Linked DNA regions of Sus scrofa. The protein of the gene in region 1 purifies or fractionates together with the protein of each later gene. This does not show direct contact. Links are inferred from orthologs where the notes say so. Each region holds a gene or a part of one and is shown in the gene's direction. Other genes may lie near its edges.

Region 1 (7,812 bases):
CAGGGTGAGGGTCTGATGGATGCCAACTTCTGTCACCCCCACGTCCAGACATGCCTGTGACCTCACCTGACAAATAAACAAAAAAAGCTTTTGTCTCTCAGACATGATCTCTCTGCCTCCCTTTACTCTTCCCCAGCATTCTGGGCCACCCTGGGCAGCAAGGATAGTTTATCAGGTGGGGAACCTTAGGGAACATGGGAGGTGGGATGTTTCTGTCTTATACATTGGCTGCTCAAATCTGAGGTCTGCAGGGCTCAGCGTGCTCCATGCCCATGTTCAGGTTAGTGGGGAGGGGCTGGCAGCTGGTCTAGCCTGGGCTTTCCTGCAGACTATGCTGACCAGATGTTCTGATCCTCAGTCTTTTTTTCTTAATGTCTTTTTTTTTTTTTAGGCCTGCACCTGTGGCATATGGAGGTTCCTAGGCTAGGGGTCTAATTGGAGCTACAGCTGCCAGCCTACACCACAGCCACAGCAACGCCGAGCTGCATCTGTGACCTACACCACAGCTCATGGCAATGCCGGATCGTTAATCCACTGAGCAAGGCCAGGGATCAAACCTGCAACCCCGTAGTTCCTAGTCGGATTTGTTTCCCCTACGCCACAACGGGAACTCCTATCCTCAGGATTGACAGTTCACTGCCCATGGACTGCTGTGCCTGGGAGGGGAGCAGTGGGGCTGGGCTTCAGGGACCTTCCCAGGACCCTGCCAAACTCCATGTCCCATAAATCTTGCTGATAATTCTGTTACTGTGTGCCCTGTGAAATCCATGGCCCAGGATGGCAAACCCGGAAATGGCTGTCTTTAGAAACAGAATGAGTAAGATCCCACCCCCTTATCTAAAGACCAAATCCTGCTTTGGCATTTCAGAGGATATACAGGTGGGGTGGGGGAAGCCTCAAAGAAGCCTCCTCAGTTTCCTTGCAGGTTTGGTTTTTTTTTTTTTGGTCTTTTTAGGGCTGTATCTGTTGCATATGGAAGTTCCCAGACTAGGGGTCAAATTGGAGCTGTAGTTGTCTGCCTATATCATAGCCATAGCACCTCAGGATCTCAGCTGCATCTGCGACCTATGCTGCAGCTCACAATAACGCCAGATCCTTAACCAAGTGGGGCCAAGGAATGAACCCACATCCCTCATGGATACTAGTCCAGTTGGTTTCCAACGAACCACAACGGAAATTCCATCAGTTTTCTTCCAGATGTTTGATGCTGAGTTTAAATCTCAGACATTTGTGGGCACTATGTTTCCCTACACAGTTAAAGCTTTCATCATCCTGTGCACCAATGAAATACCAAACAGATTTTTAGTCTATGCAGTCCAGGTGCATTTCCAAAGGAATGCACCTGTGCCTGGTCTTTGTACCTAACCAATGCCAAGTTCCTGCCCCTTGCTTCCCTTCCTGTTTCTGCACTTTTTCCTGCCAACATGAATGTCCCGCTTCTCAAAGGGACATGGGGAATGTTTGTGGGTTGAATGTAAATGAATGGTTGAAGTGCCCAAGGAGGGATTCAGGCCTAACCCTTGCCAGGGCCAGTCTGGTCTTCCCACCTCAATCTTTCATCACTGTAGTGACTGGCCCCTCCACCAGCTTGGCAGTATCTCTCCCCACTGTGCTCCTGAGCTTTGCTGCTTAACACCAGACTGCATGATGTTCCTGCATGGCCTGCACTCTTAACTCTAAACCCTTGCCACACAGCTTCCTGCTGCTTGGACCACCTTTATCTCTTTTTTTCTTTTTAAATTAAATTTTTTTTTTTTCTTTTTAGGGCTGCACTCACAGCATATGGAGGTTCCCGGGCTAGGGGTCCAGTTGGCGCCACAGCCACAGCCACCCAAGACCCAAGCTGTGTCTGTGACCTATACCTCAACTCACGGCAATGCCAGATCCTTAACTCACTGAGCAAGGCCAGGGATCGAACCCACAACCTCATGGTTCCTAGTTGGACTCGTTTCCGCTGCACCACAACGGGAACTCCCGCATCTTTTTTTCAATTGTTTTACTTCAGAGCATCTTTCAGGGGGTGGGAGCTGCGTCCAAGGCTGCAAGTCATTCATGAAACTTCTAAACCATCTGCTTACTCTCTATTTACAGCTCCCCACCCCTGCCCAGGTTACACTCCTTTCAAAATCAAGCTTGGTGACTCAATTATTTTTGTACCTCCTGGCATATCATTAAAGCTTTACTGTACTGAATTGAGTTCTTCAGCATGATTTTACCGTCTTTAAACAAAGTCAAAGAGAAAGGGCGTAAGATTCATCCTTCTTTTTTTGGCCAGGCTCACAGCTTGTGGAAGTTCTCTGGATCAGGGATTAAACCCAAGCCACAGCAGTGACAAGGTCAGATTCTTCTTCTTCTTCTTTTTTTTTTTTTTTTTGTCTTTTTGCCATTTCTTGGGCCGCTCCTGCGGCATATGGAGGTTCCCAGGCTAGGGGTCGAATCAGAGCTGTAGCTGCCAGCCTACGCCAGAGCCACAGCAATGCGGGATTCGAGCCGCGTCTGCAGCCTACACCACAGCTCATGGCAACGCCGGATCGTTAACCCAGTGAGCAAGGGCAGGGATCGAACCCGCAACGTCATGGTTCCTAGTCGGATTCGTTAACCACTGCGCCACGACGGGAACTCCAGACAAGGTCAGATTCTTAAACCGCTGAGCCACCAGGGAACTCCTAACATTCATTCTTATTTAAATCATACTTCCTGGACTCATGCACCTATAAATCTGAACCAGGGAAGCCCTTCCCTAAAATGCTTAGCTCCCAAGAGCGTAACATCTCAGTCCCAGCCGGTTGTCAGAAACCCTCTTCCAGGCTCTTAAATTCTGTTGTTCCCTCCCCCGCCCGTTCACCTCCCAACAGACTACCCGCCCTCCGCTCCCCGCCCCCAGTACTCTCTGCTTCAATAGTTCGTTGTATCTGTGGTTTTTAGGCTTCAAATCCTTTTCGGAAAAAGGTGAGCCACGGGCATAGGAATGAGAATATTGTTACTCCCTTGGTCCCCTCCAAGTGTCCCCAGGTTTCCACCTTCCGAGCACCTGTCGCAGTTGGAACACTGCTGCCGATTACTTAGCAGGTGTCACCAACCGCGCTGCAGATTACCGCCAAGAGGCCCTCAAGGTCCCCGCGCGCTGGCTCTCGGGAAGGCGCGTGCGGGCTCGCCGATTGGCTGGCGGAGCCGGCTCCCGAGCCAATGGGAGCGCTCCTTGTTGTCAGGCGCGCAGTCCTTCCGACGGGCGCGGGGGTCCGGCGGACGGCCTGTTGCCGTGGAGACGACTCGTGAGTTCGCGTACTGCAGGTTTGGGGAGGCCCCGGGCTGGGGTGAGGCTTGGAGGTGTGGTGCTGAGGAGCGGCTGGCTGGGGGCTGCTCACGGAAAAACCCAGGCTGGGAGCCCGAGCGGCCGAGCCAGGCCCCACTGCCGCGCGAACCTCTTGGCGGCTCCCGCTCCGCTTGGGGCCTGGGGCGGGGGTCTCAGGAACGCTGTGGGGGTCTCAACAACTCAGCCGTCCCGTCTGCGGTCGCGGAACAGGGCCCCGCACCCACCCTTGCTGCGTGTCCTTCCACTTAACCTTCGCGGCGGCGCTGCGCGGCGGGCACCAGGTGGGCGCCCCTCGCGGGATGGGGACTGAGGCCGAGAGGTGGTGCGGCCGCTTGTCCCAAGTCCCCAGCTTCCCGGCAGGCTAGCCGACTCCAGACTAAAAGCCTGGACCCACTGCCGTCCCGGAGGAGGCCAGGTGGAGCTTTCTGACGTCGGCAGGTGTCTGCACAGGCGGCTTTAGGGGTTCCTTCACCCCTTGGTGAAGGGCCTACTGTGTATGCGGACCAAGCGGCTGGGGTTCTTTCTGTGTGGTACATAACCGTGGTTAGGACCCATGTGTCCTCAGAGACGTCTGGTTCAGGGGTCAGCAAACTTCGGTTCTAAATAGAGTAGTTTATATGATACTATTCCTTGTGACAATAATGAGTGTAATTGTGCTTATAATGAGGAGGGGGCATAGTTTTCTTAGCTCTGTTGCTGTATTGTGGACACAGCCAACGACAGTTCGTAAAGTTGTTTCAAGAAAATTTCATTTAGGGACACTGAAGTTGCAATTTTATGTTGTCAGTAATTTTCATGTGTCATGAACTTTTCAACCATTTAAAAATGTAAAAAGTGGGAGTTCTTGCCATTGTACTGTGGGTTGTGCTGCCCACCCTAGCGTCTTGGGTTGCTTCTGAGGCAGGGGTTCAATCCCCAGCAGTGGGTTAAAAAGATCGAGCTTTGCGGCAGCTGCAGGGTAGGTAGGTTGCAGCTGTGGCTCAGATTCAATCCCTGGCCTGGGAGCTTCCATATGCCATGGGTATGGCCATTAAAAAAAAAAGAAAAAGAAAAAGCCATTCTTTGCTCTTGAGCTGTACAGAAACTGTGGGCTTGGTAGCTTGTGGATCCCAAGTCTAGCCCAAAGCCTCATACAGTGGAGGGAAATGACCTAGAGACCGGCATCTGATGCCATGTCAGTCACACGGCCCAGGCTTCCCCATTCCCAGGCCAGAGCCTGCTAAGAAACATCACCCCTTATCACTGGATCTGGGTGAGGTGCTCAGGGTGTGCTGTTGTCATGTGTTCTGAGGGCCATGAAAACTGTACCATAAAGATTTTGGAAACTCATGAGGTTTAAGTCCTGAATGTGCCTTTTTGGTTTTTTAAAATTTTATGGTCCCACCTGTGGCATAATGGAAGTTCCCCAGGCCAGGGGTTGCATCACAGCCACAGCTTTGACCTGTGCCACAGCTGTAGCAAAGGGGGATCCTTTAACCCACTGCGCCCCGCTGGGGATAGAACTGGAGCATCCACAGCACTCCACCAGTTACTTAGTCTTTACTAAACTTCTAAACTTTTTGGCCTTGCTGAGTTTTTCGTTTGTTTGTTTGTTTGTTTTGCTTTTTTAGGGCCCAACCGGCAGCATATGGAAGTTCCCAGGCTAGGGGTTGAATCAGAGCTTCAGCTGCCGGCCTACGCCACAGCAATGCAGATCTGAGCTGAGTCTTCTATTTAGACCGCAACTCATGGCAATGCCAGATCTTTAACCTGCTGACTGAGGCCAGGGATCCAACCTGCATCCTCTTGGACACTACGTTGGGTTCTTAGCCTGCTGAGCCACAGTGGGAACTCCCAGCATCATGTTTTTGTGGTTCATCTGTGTTTTCATTAGTTCATTCCATTTTATGGCTGATTGATATTCCATTGTATGGCTGGACCACATTTTGTTTATCCAGAAATTAGTTGATGGCCATTTGGGTTGTTTCTTCTCTTTGGTTATTATGAATAATGTAGCTGTGAACATTCCCTCATGGATTTTGCAGCTGCAATGTTACTTCATTGTATGGAGGTGCCATAGTTTATTTATTCATATCCTGGACTATCTGTGGCCATTTAGGTGGTTTTCAAGATCTTGCAATGGCAAACAGTGCTGGAACCCTGTGCATATGTATTTTTACATGGTTGGAGATGCATCTTCAGGGTAGATTCCTAGGATTGCTGGCTTGAAAGGTAAGTGCATTGGTGATTTTGTTGCCTGTTATCATACTCTTTTCCAGAGGGGCTATACTAGTTTGTTTGTTTTTTTTGTGGGGGGCTTGTACCAATTTGCATTCCCACCAAAGGTGTTTGAGAGTAGTGCCTGTTTCCCCACAACCTTACCACCAAGAGTGTGCCTTTGTGCTTTAGTTTTTGCCAGTGTGTTAGGTGAGAAATGGCATTTCAGTGGGCATCCTTTATTGCTGGTATTAAAGGAAGTCCTTCTGGTGTTACTTCATTTAATAAATTTTGGCTTTAGACTAAGGTATGTGTGTTTTAACATTGTTAAGAAAATTCCAGGAGTTCCCTGGTGGCACAGCAGGTTAGGGGATCTGGTGTTGTCACTGCTGTGGCTTGGTTTGGCCAAAAAAAAAAAATATATATATATATAGAATACAGAAAATTCTGGTTTTCTTGAGGTGCCTTTTTTTTTTTTTTTTTTAATATCATGAATAGGTGTTGAATTTTGTCATAGGCTTTCTTTTCTATGGAGATAATCCTTTCTATTGCCCCCTCTCCCTCCGCCCACGGATGAGTACACTGTGTTTTTACGTATGTGACGTGTTTTCATTGTTTGTATTTCTTTAAATGTCTAGAATTTTAGTTGCATTTCCTTTTCCCTGGAAGTTGTTTAATATGAGGTTTTTACATTTTTATTTTTATATTTTTAAAATTTATTTATTTTTATTTTTATTTTTTGCTTTTTAGGTCTGCACTTGCAGCATATGGAGGTTCCCAGGCTAGGGGTTGAATTGGAGCTGCAGCTGCTGGCCTACACCACAGTCATAGCAAGAGGAGATCTGAGCCACGTCTGTGACCTACACCACAGCTCACCACAACGCCGGATCCTTAACCCACTGAGCGAGGCCATGGATTGAACTTTCGTCTTCATGGATGCAGGTCATGTTTGTTAACTGCTGAGCCATGAAGGAAACTCCGGTTCCTACATTTTTAGACATAAGGACTTTTCTTCCTCTGCTACTGGTGGGGTGGTTGTCACTTACCTAGTTTTAAGTTATTAGGGAGTGTCGTTTTTATTTTTTAATCTTATAATGATTTTTATATTTTTTTGCATTATAGCTGGTTTACAGTGTTCAGTCAGTTTTCTACTGTATAGCAAGGTGACCCAGTCACACATACATGTATACATTCTTTTTTCTCACATTATCATGTTTCATCATAAGTGACTAGCTACAGTTCCCAGTGCAGGATCTCATTACTTATACATTCCAAAGGCAATAGTTTGCATTTGTTAACTCCAAATTCCCAATCCATCCCACTCTCTCCCCCTCCCCCTGGCAACCACAAGTCTGTTCCCCATGTCCATGATTTTCTTTTCTGTAGAAAGATTTCATTTGTGCTGTATATTAGATTCCAGGTATAAGTGATATCATATAGTATTTGTCTTTCTCTTTCTGACTTACTTCACTTAGTAAGAAAATCTGTAGTTCTATCCATGTTGCTGCAAATGGCATTATTTTGTTCTTTTTTATGGCTGAGTAGTATTCCATTGTGTGTATATACCACATCTTCTTTTTTTTTTTTTTTTTTTTTTTCTGTTTTTTGCCATTTGTTGCGCCGCTCCTGCGGCATATGGAGGTTCCCAGGCTAGGGGTCTAATCGGAGCTGTTGACACCAGCCTATGCCAGAGCCACAGCAGCGCGGGATCTGAGCCACGTCTGCGACCTACACCACAGCTCACGGCAACGCCGGAACCCCGACCCACTGAGCAAGGGCAGGGATCGAACCCGCAACCTCATGGTTCCTAGTCGGATTCGTTAACCACTGTGCCACGACGGGAACTCCCCACATCTTAATGCAGTCATCTGTCAATGGACTTTTAGGTCGTTTCCATTTCTTGGCTGTTGTGAATAGTGCTGTAATGAACATGTGGGTGCATGTGTCTTTTTCAGGGCAAGTTTTGTCTGGATATATGCCCAAGAGTGGGATTGCTGGGTCATATGGTAGTTCTGTGTATAGTTTTCTAAGGTACCTCCATACTGTTCTCCATAGTGGCTGTACCAGCTTACATTCCCACCAACAGTGCAGGAGGGTTCCCTTTTCTCCACACCTTCTCCAGCGTATGTTATTTGTGGACTTGTTAATGGTGGCCATCCTGACTGGTGTGAGGTGGTACCTCCTGGTAGTTTTGATTTGCATTTCTCTAATAATCAGTGATGTTGAGCACTTTTTCATGTGCTTGTTGGCCATCTGTGTGTCGTCTTTGTAAAAATGTCTATTCAGGTCTTTTACCCATTTTT
Region 2 (7,266 bases), on another chromosome or scaffold:
AGTGCTGCCCGTCCCGAAGTCCCAAGTTGCCCGGCCGACGTGGAGCCGGCGTCTCTCTGCTTCCTCCTGGGCCGGCGCGTCGGCACGGCCGGCGAGGCCCCCCGGGCGCGCGGGGACCGGGCCATGGGCCGTGGCGCGGGCCGGCCGACCGCCGGGAGGCATGGCTCGGTGGCCGGCCGCTAGCAGCGCGGCAGCCCGGGCTCCCGGGCCGGCATGAGGACGGCCACGGGGGAACGAGTGCGGCCCGCGGGGCCGTAGCCTGCGTCGCGCCGGGGACAAAGGTACGTGTCTTTGTGGGAACTGGGCTCTCACGTAAGCTTTGTTGTGGTTTGACACTTTTAGGGAAGTTGGAAACAGGCTGTTTTGACAACAGGAAGGCAGACGCTAAGCGTAGTTTCAGTATGTTCAAACTAAACCATTGAATGGGGAATCTTGAATAACAAGCAGTTTAGCACAGCGTCTGCCTAAATATCACCATCGCAGATAGAATGTAAAACATTTTAAAAAGGTTCCAATCTCAGTTTGAGAACCCAGGGAGTCTAAGTCAAGTGTTAACTTACCCGGGACTTTTCTTGAGTCACCGCCTGCATGAAAGAGTGGCAGGTCCACGGGCATCTCTCATAGGTGTCGTGTTATACAGAGACTGGGTGTAAACGGGAAGTTTTTAGCGAACTGACTTGTCCGAAGCCTGGTTTCTCTTTGGAATTCAGTTTCGCTGAAGTACCATCAGCTAGTTTCAGGAAGTGTCATTTACTGGTAACTATTTTGTGTTGTTTTAAATACAAATCTATGATTTAAAGCGTATTTAAGTTTCCAAGAGGGAACACTAAAATTCAACACACCTTCCTAACTTAATTTTTGAGGAATCGAAGGGTACGTTAATGACTTCATAAAATACACAGATCTTAAATCAACATCACATTGGACCTAGAGACATTCCCATTACAGTCAGGAACATGGCAAAGAATATATTGTCTAACATTCTGGCAGTTCTAGCCAATGCAACAAGACATGAAACAAAAATAAAACGTATTTTTTCGGAAAGTAGGAGACAAAATTTTTCTTCTGTGAATGTTACTCGACAGCCTATTTTGAAAAGTGCAAGGGAAATCCATTAAGTAAGAGTTCATTGAAGAGACTAATTACAAAGTCAGCATGCAAAATTCAGTTAGTTTTTCTACATTTTTACCAATAATCAGTTTGAAAATATTAAGAGGGTATGTAACAACAAAAAAATACTCCTGAGTATAACCTGAGGTACAGAACGAAGTTGTTATTTTGGGGTTAGCATCTGTTGAGGTTTTTTAAGAGGGGTGGTTTTGTTTGTAGAATACTGTGCTTTTATTTAGAATAATGTTCAACTCATTAAAATGCTCAGCTCATTGCAATTGAGTATCCAGGAGTTCCTACTCTGGTGCAGTGGATTAAGACTCCGACTGCAGCCGCTCTGGTTGCTTCAGAGGCCAGATGCAGTGGGTTGAAGAATCCCTAGTTGCTGCATATGTGGCATAGATCACAGCTGTGGCTCAGATTCATTCCCTAGCCTGGGAGCTTCCATATGCCATGAGTGCAGCCATTTTAAAAGAAAAAAAAATTGAGTATCTTAAGTGCTTAGCTTTTAAAAGCCTTTTAATCTTTGTTGACAATTTTATTTTTACAGATCTAAAAATGCTTATGTAAAAATATATTTGATTTTTGACAAATTTTCAATTAAGGCACCAGTTTAACAAATTGAATACCCCCAGTGAACTCTTTTTAAAAATTAAATTCTGGAGTTCCCGTCATGGCACAGCGGAAACAAATCCAGCCAGCAATCATGAGGTTTTCGGGTTAGATCCCTGGCCTCACTCAGTGGGTTAAGGATCTGGCGTGGCCGTGAACTGTGGTGTAGGTCGAAGACTCGGCTCAGATCTGGAGTTGCTGTGTCTCTGGCGTGGGCCGGAGGCAACAGCTCCCAATTGGACCCCTAGCCTGGGAAGCTCCATATGCCGCGGGTGTGGCCCTCAAAAGACAAAAAAAATAAATAAATAAACTCCCTCAGATGTTCTAACCTGAATTCAAAGTTTTATATGGTTGTTCTTTCTCTCAGATACATCACACTTCTAAAGCGTGAGCTTACAAACCTAAAAGTAAAATCTTTTCAAGGTCTTAACTCTTAGGCGTCTAATACTCATGTAAATGTAAGTCAGGTGTTTTGAAAGCATACTTTCAATTTAGTTACATTTCCTTAAGCATTTCAAGTTAAAGTTGTAACTAATAATCATGAATGTGTCTCATTCTCTTAAATGTTTCACATGAATTACTACAATGACTTAGAACTTAATCTAAAATGTAAGTGTTGATATGCTATTGTTTGATTTATTTTATTTTCTAATCTTATTTATGTAATTTCTTAGGCCTGCAAAATCACTTACCCAAGCAGTAGAAGCATTTTTATCATCTAGGGGATTGAAGTTACACTATCTAAAATTTGGGCCTAGATGAGGTTACATTTTTATTTATTTATTCATTTAATTTTGTTTTGTTTTGTTTTTGTGTTTTTAAGGCCGCACTTGTGGCATATGGAGGTTCCCAGGCTAGGGGTTGAATCAGAGCTACAGCTGCTACTAAGACTACAGAGCCTACTAAGGCTCTGTCAGCATGGTTTCTCTAATTTCAAGAACTTAGTGAAGATACGTAGAAGAAAGACTGCAAGGAAGCATACTAAACAGTGATTATCTCTGAATGATGTGAAATGGCATGTCTTTTATATGTACATGAAAACTTATGTGTATATACATATATACATATTTGTTTTTCTAAGGCCGCACCTGCAGCATATGGAGGTTCCCAGGTCTGATTGGAGTTATAGCTGCCAGCCTACACCAGAGCCACAGCAACACCAGATCCGAGCCATGTCTTCGACCTACACCACAGCTCATGGCAACGCCGGATCCTTAACCCACTGAGTGAGGCCAGGGTTCGAACGCACAACCTCACGGTTCCTAGTCAGATTCGTTTCTGCTGTGCCACGTTGGGAACTCCAAAAATTTTTATATTTAAGGTAAATAGTAGGTAAGCAGAAAACAGTAAGTGGTAATTAAGATGAATTTAACAGTGCTGTTTCTTAACAGTGAAAGGTTTTTTTGTTTTTTTAATTGAAATCTCTATAACTGAACAGGCGAGATCATCATTTTTATCATCTTGGTTTGTTTACAGAAGCCATGCAGTGACACCTACTAAGACTTGTTGGTAGCCATGTCGGAGCCCCACAGGGTCCAGTTCACCTCTCTCCCGGGTCCTCTGAATCCTGCGTTTTTGAAGAAATCCCGGAAAGAGGAGGTTGGGGGAGTAGAACAGCATCAGGACTCTGAGCCGGCTGCAGCAGCTGTTCGGATTACACTCACCCTCTTTGAGCCAGATCACAAGCGATGCCCAGAGTTCTTCTACCCAGAGCTGGTGAAAAACTTGCGAGGGAAGGTGAAAGGACTTCAGCCGGCAGACAAGGTACACCCCCACGGCCCAGGCTCACTGCACATCTCATGCCCAGGGTTGCAGAGGGTGGAGGCAGCGCTAAAGAAGCTTTGACCCCCTCACAAAGCAAGCACAAGGTTTGCTGGTTTTGCTTCTGGTAGGAAGGAATAGAATTCTTTCTAGAACCATTCCCTGATTTGCGTTAGAGAAAATGTATGGCAGATCCAAGGCTAATTTGAATTATGGTTAATAATATGAAGAAACAACAGATTTTTTCATGGAAAGGCTATAAATGTTACATGTAAATATGACCAGTCCCTTGGAGTTCCTGTCGTCATGTAAATATGACCAGTCCCTTGGAGTTCCTGTCGTGGTGGAATGGAAACAAATCTAACTAGGAACCATGAGGTTGCAGATTTGATCCCTGGCCTTGCTCAGTGGGTTAAGGATCCGGTGTTGCCATGAGCTGTGGTGTAGGCCGGTAGCTGTAGCTCTGATTCCACCCCTAGCCTGGGAACATCCGTATGCTGTGGGTGTGGCCCTAAAAAAAAAAGTAAAAAATATGACCAGTCCCTGGCTTTTCTAGTGCTGGAATTTCATGCTGGGCATTTCTCTTTTCCAAGGCACTCTCACACTGCCTAATAGGAAGGCAAGCAAGAAAAGACGCACACTGCTCATCTCTTCTGAATGCAATGATATTCTGGGAGTTCCCGCTGTAGTGCAGTGGGGTAATGATCCAGCTGGTCTCTGTGGTATTACCAGTTCAATCCCCTGTGAATGGGGTTATGGATCCAGCGTTGCTCTAGCTGTGGGATAGGTCACAAATGCGGCTCAGATTTGATCCCTGGCCCATGAATTTTTAAATGCTGTGGATGTGGCAGAAAAAGAGAAAAAAAACATGGTAATGTTCTGAATAGTTTCTTTACCTGTATGGATAGAAACTTTTTTTTTTTTTTTTTTTGCTTTTTAGGGCTGCACCCTCAGCATATGGAGATTCCCAGGCTAGGTGTCCAATTGGAGCTATAGCTGCCGGCCTACACCACAGCCACAGCAACGCAGGATTCGAGCCACGTCTGCAACCTACACCACAGCTCACGGCAACACCGGATCTTTAACCCACTGATCGAGGCCAGGGATTGAACCCGCAACCTCATGGTTCCTAGTCGGATTCGTTAACCACTGCGCCACGACGGGAACTCCCCTGATTTCTCAAATATTCTTAAAATGATTTTTTTTTCTGATAGATTTGTTTTACTTTTTTAGTATGGAACTTTTCAAATATGTGCAGTAGAGAGAGAATAGTATAAGACCCTATGTACCCATTATCCAGCTTCAGTTCTTATCCTTTGGAATTCATTAACTCTGTAAAAACTCTTTTTTTTTTTTTTTTTTTTTTTTTTTGGTCTTTTTAGGGCCGCACCCGCGGCATATGGAGGTTCCCAGGCTAGGGGTCTAATTGGAGCTGTAGCTGCTGGCCTACACCACAGCCATAGCAACGCCAGATCTGAGCCACATCTGCGACCTGCATCACAGCTCATGGCAATACTGGATTCTTAATCCATTGAGTGAGGCCAGGGATCAAACCCGCAACCTCATGGTTCCTAGTTGGATTTGTTTCCTCTGTGCCATGACAGGAACTCATAAAAACTTTTTATATTGGATTATGTACATAAGAAAAGTACAGGGAGTTCCCATTGTGGCTCAGTGGAAACAGATCTGACTAGTATCCATGAGGACGCAGGTTCGATCCCTGGCCTCACTCAGTGGATCGGGAATCCGGTGTTGCTGTGGCTCCGATTCAGCCCCTAGTCTGGGAACTTCCATATGCCTCGAGTGTGGCCCCCAAAAGACAAAAACAGACAAACGCACTAGGCTATCCTCTGAGGGAAAGGATGGTAGGATCCTGCATTTGGCAGCATTTGGATCTCTAGAGTGGCTCCTAGTGAAGTGAAGATTAGGTTGGTACCTGTCTCACAGCATGTCTGAGGTAGATGAGATCATGCAGCTGTAGTTTCTAGCAAATGGCTTCAGTGGCCAGTGCTCCTTCAGTCTAATCCATGGTTGTGCTATTTGGGGTGAATGCTTTTGAATAGGAGGATTCGCCACTTTTCTTTATTCCAAATAAAAATGTTTCCTTGATAAAGATCTGATTGGAAATTCCTAGTGTGGCTCAGTGGATTAGGAACCCAACTTAGTATCCATGAGGATGTGGGTACAATCCCTGGCCTTGCTCAGAGGGTTAAGGATCCAGGGTTACCACAAGCTGCTGCGCAGGTTGCAAATCTGGTGTTGCTGTGCTATAAGCCGGCAGCTGTAGCTCCAATTTGACCCCCAGCTACACCATGTGCAGCTGTAAAAAGAAAAAATAATTGGCTGAATGGAAGCCACTTGAGCCTGTGCCAAGAGTCATTCTGTTGTATGAAGGCCAGTGGACAGGATGAGAAAAAGTAATTTTAAATTCGTCCATGAACTCTTTTCCAAAGTAGGAGTAGTTTCCTCTTCCTTGAGAGGAAGACAAAGCAGTAGGCATTGGTTAAAGTATTTATGGACTCAAACCAAATCAGTAGGTCAATGGAAATTAGAACTCCATGCTCTGATTTTACCCTTTTTGGGTTCAGATGCCCTTCTCACTTGCAGAAAAATGTATGGGTGGCATACATAGAAAACTTTGAATTCCATTTCAGGGGTTCACTCCTGGCCTTCAGATTCAGAACTCCTGAATTGTCATGTCTGCTCTGCAGTGTTGAAAGCACAGTGTATTCTGACGTGTTCATGGATTAACTCATTCAGCCTGTATTCTTACAGTGAGAAGGCACTGTGCTAGACGCTGTGGACTATGTAAAGGTGGAGAAGTTGCTGTACCAGCCTCAAAGGGACTTGGCAGTCTGATGTTTTAGGAAGATTATATCAACATAGGTGACAGGAGTCACAATGTGGTAATTGTTTAAGTCTGGTACAAATAGAGGCCCTGCAGAACTTGGATAGAGAAGAGCTTATATTCCAGATGCTGTGTTTAGACAGAGCTGCACCGTCATACGTTCAGGAAATTGTGGATGACTACTATTTACAGGGTATTAAGCAATACACATTAAATCCAACACCACTCCAGGTTGGTGGGATTTCTTAGAATTATTTGAACGATTTAGGTTATATCTCATCATTGTGGAAAAGCTAGAAGGTTCAGACAAGCTGTTTTGAAGACCATCCATTTTTGTGTGTACAATGTATGTATGCTGTTTAACATACTGGTATAGGTGTATTCTAAATCATTTAGCTGATCCTTTGTGAGTGAGAGGGATTTCAGTGGGAAGAGATGGGAGAGTGAGATAGAATTTTGTTTTTTGAACAAGCATCCAATCTCTAGTGTTTTTGGAATACTCTGGAGTCTTAAGTGTATTTGGTACTGGAATCTTTTATTTTTAACTCAAGTGAATTTTATATTTATAATTGTACAACCATCATCACAACCCAATTTTACAACATTTCCATCCCAAACCCCCAGCCCACCCCTCCCCTTCCCCACAACCTGTCTCCTTTGGTAACCATAAGTTTTTCAAAGTCTGAATCGCTTTTTGTTCTGCCAAGAAATTCATTGTACACTTTTTCTAGATTGCACATAAAAGTGATAGCATATGGCATTTGTGTCTCACTGTCTAACTTAGCATAATTTTTAGGTCTATCCATGTTGCTGCAAATGCCATTATTTCATTCCTTTTTATGGCTGAGTAATATTCCATTGTGTATATGTACCACATCTTCTTTATCCACTCCTCTGTTAATGGACATGTAGGTTGCTTCCATGTCTTGGCTATT

The links.
Region 2: the proteins of CABIN1 (region 1) and UBN1 purify together in Homo sapiens (affinity purification with western blotting; 6 studies listed by BioGRID, with this or other methods). This does not show direct contact. The link is inferred for Sus scrofa from reciprocal best matches to the Homo sapiens genes CABIN1 and UBN1.

What each region holds. Positions count from the first base shown.
Region 1 is NC_010456.5:49,783,089-49,790,900, reverse strand, and holds the start of CABIN1 (calcineurin-binding protein cabin-1), read left to right. Parts: upstream 1-3,187; 5' UTR 3,188-3,291; intron 3,292-5,411; exon of another isoform or gene 5,412-5,524; intron 5,525-7,812. UniProt on the Homo sapiens protein: May be required for replication-independent chromatin assembly. May serve as a negative regulator of T-cell receptor (TCR) signaling via inhibition of calcineurin. Inhibition of activated calcineurin is dependent on both PKC and calcium signals.
Region 2 is NC_010445.4:37,547,536-37,554,801, reverse strand, and holds part of UBN1 (ubinuclein-1), read left to right. Parts: 5' UTR 1-281; intron 282-3,198; 5' UTR 3,199-3,237; coding exon 3,238-3,486; intron 3,487-7,266. UniProt on the Homo sapiens protein: Acts as a novel regulator of senescence. Involved in the formation of senescence-associated heterochromatin foci (SAHF), which represses expression of proliferation-promoting genes. Binds to proliferation-promoting genes.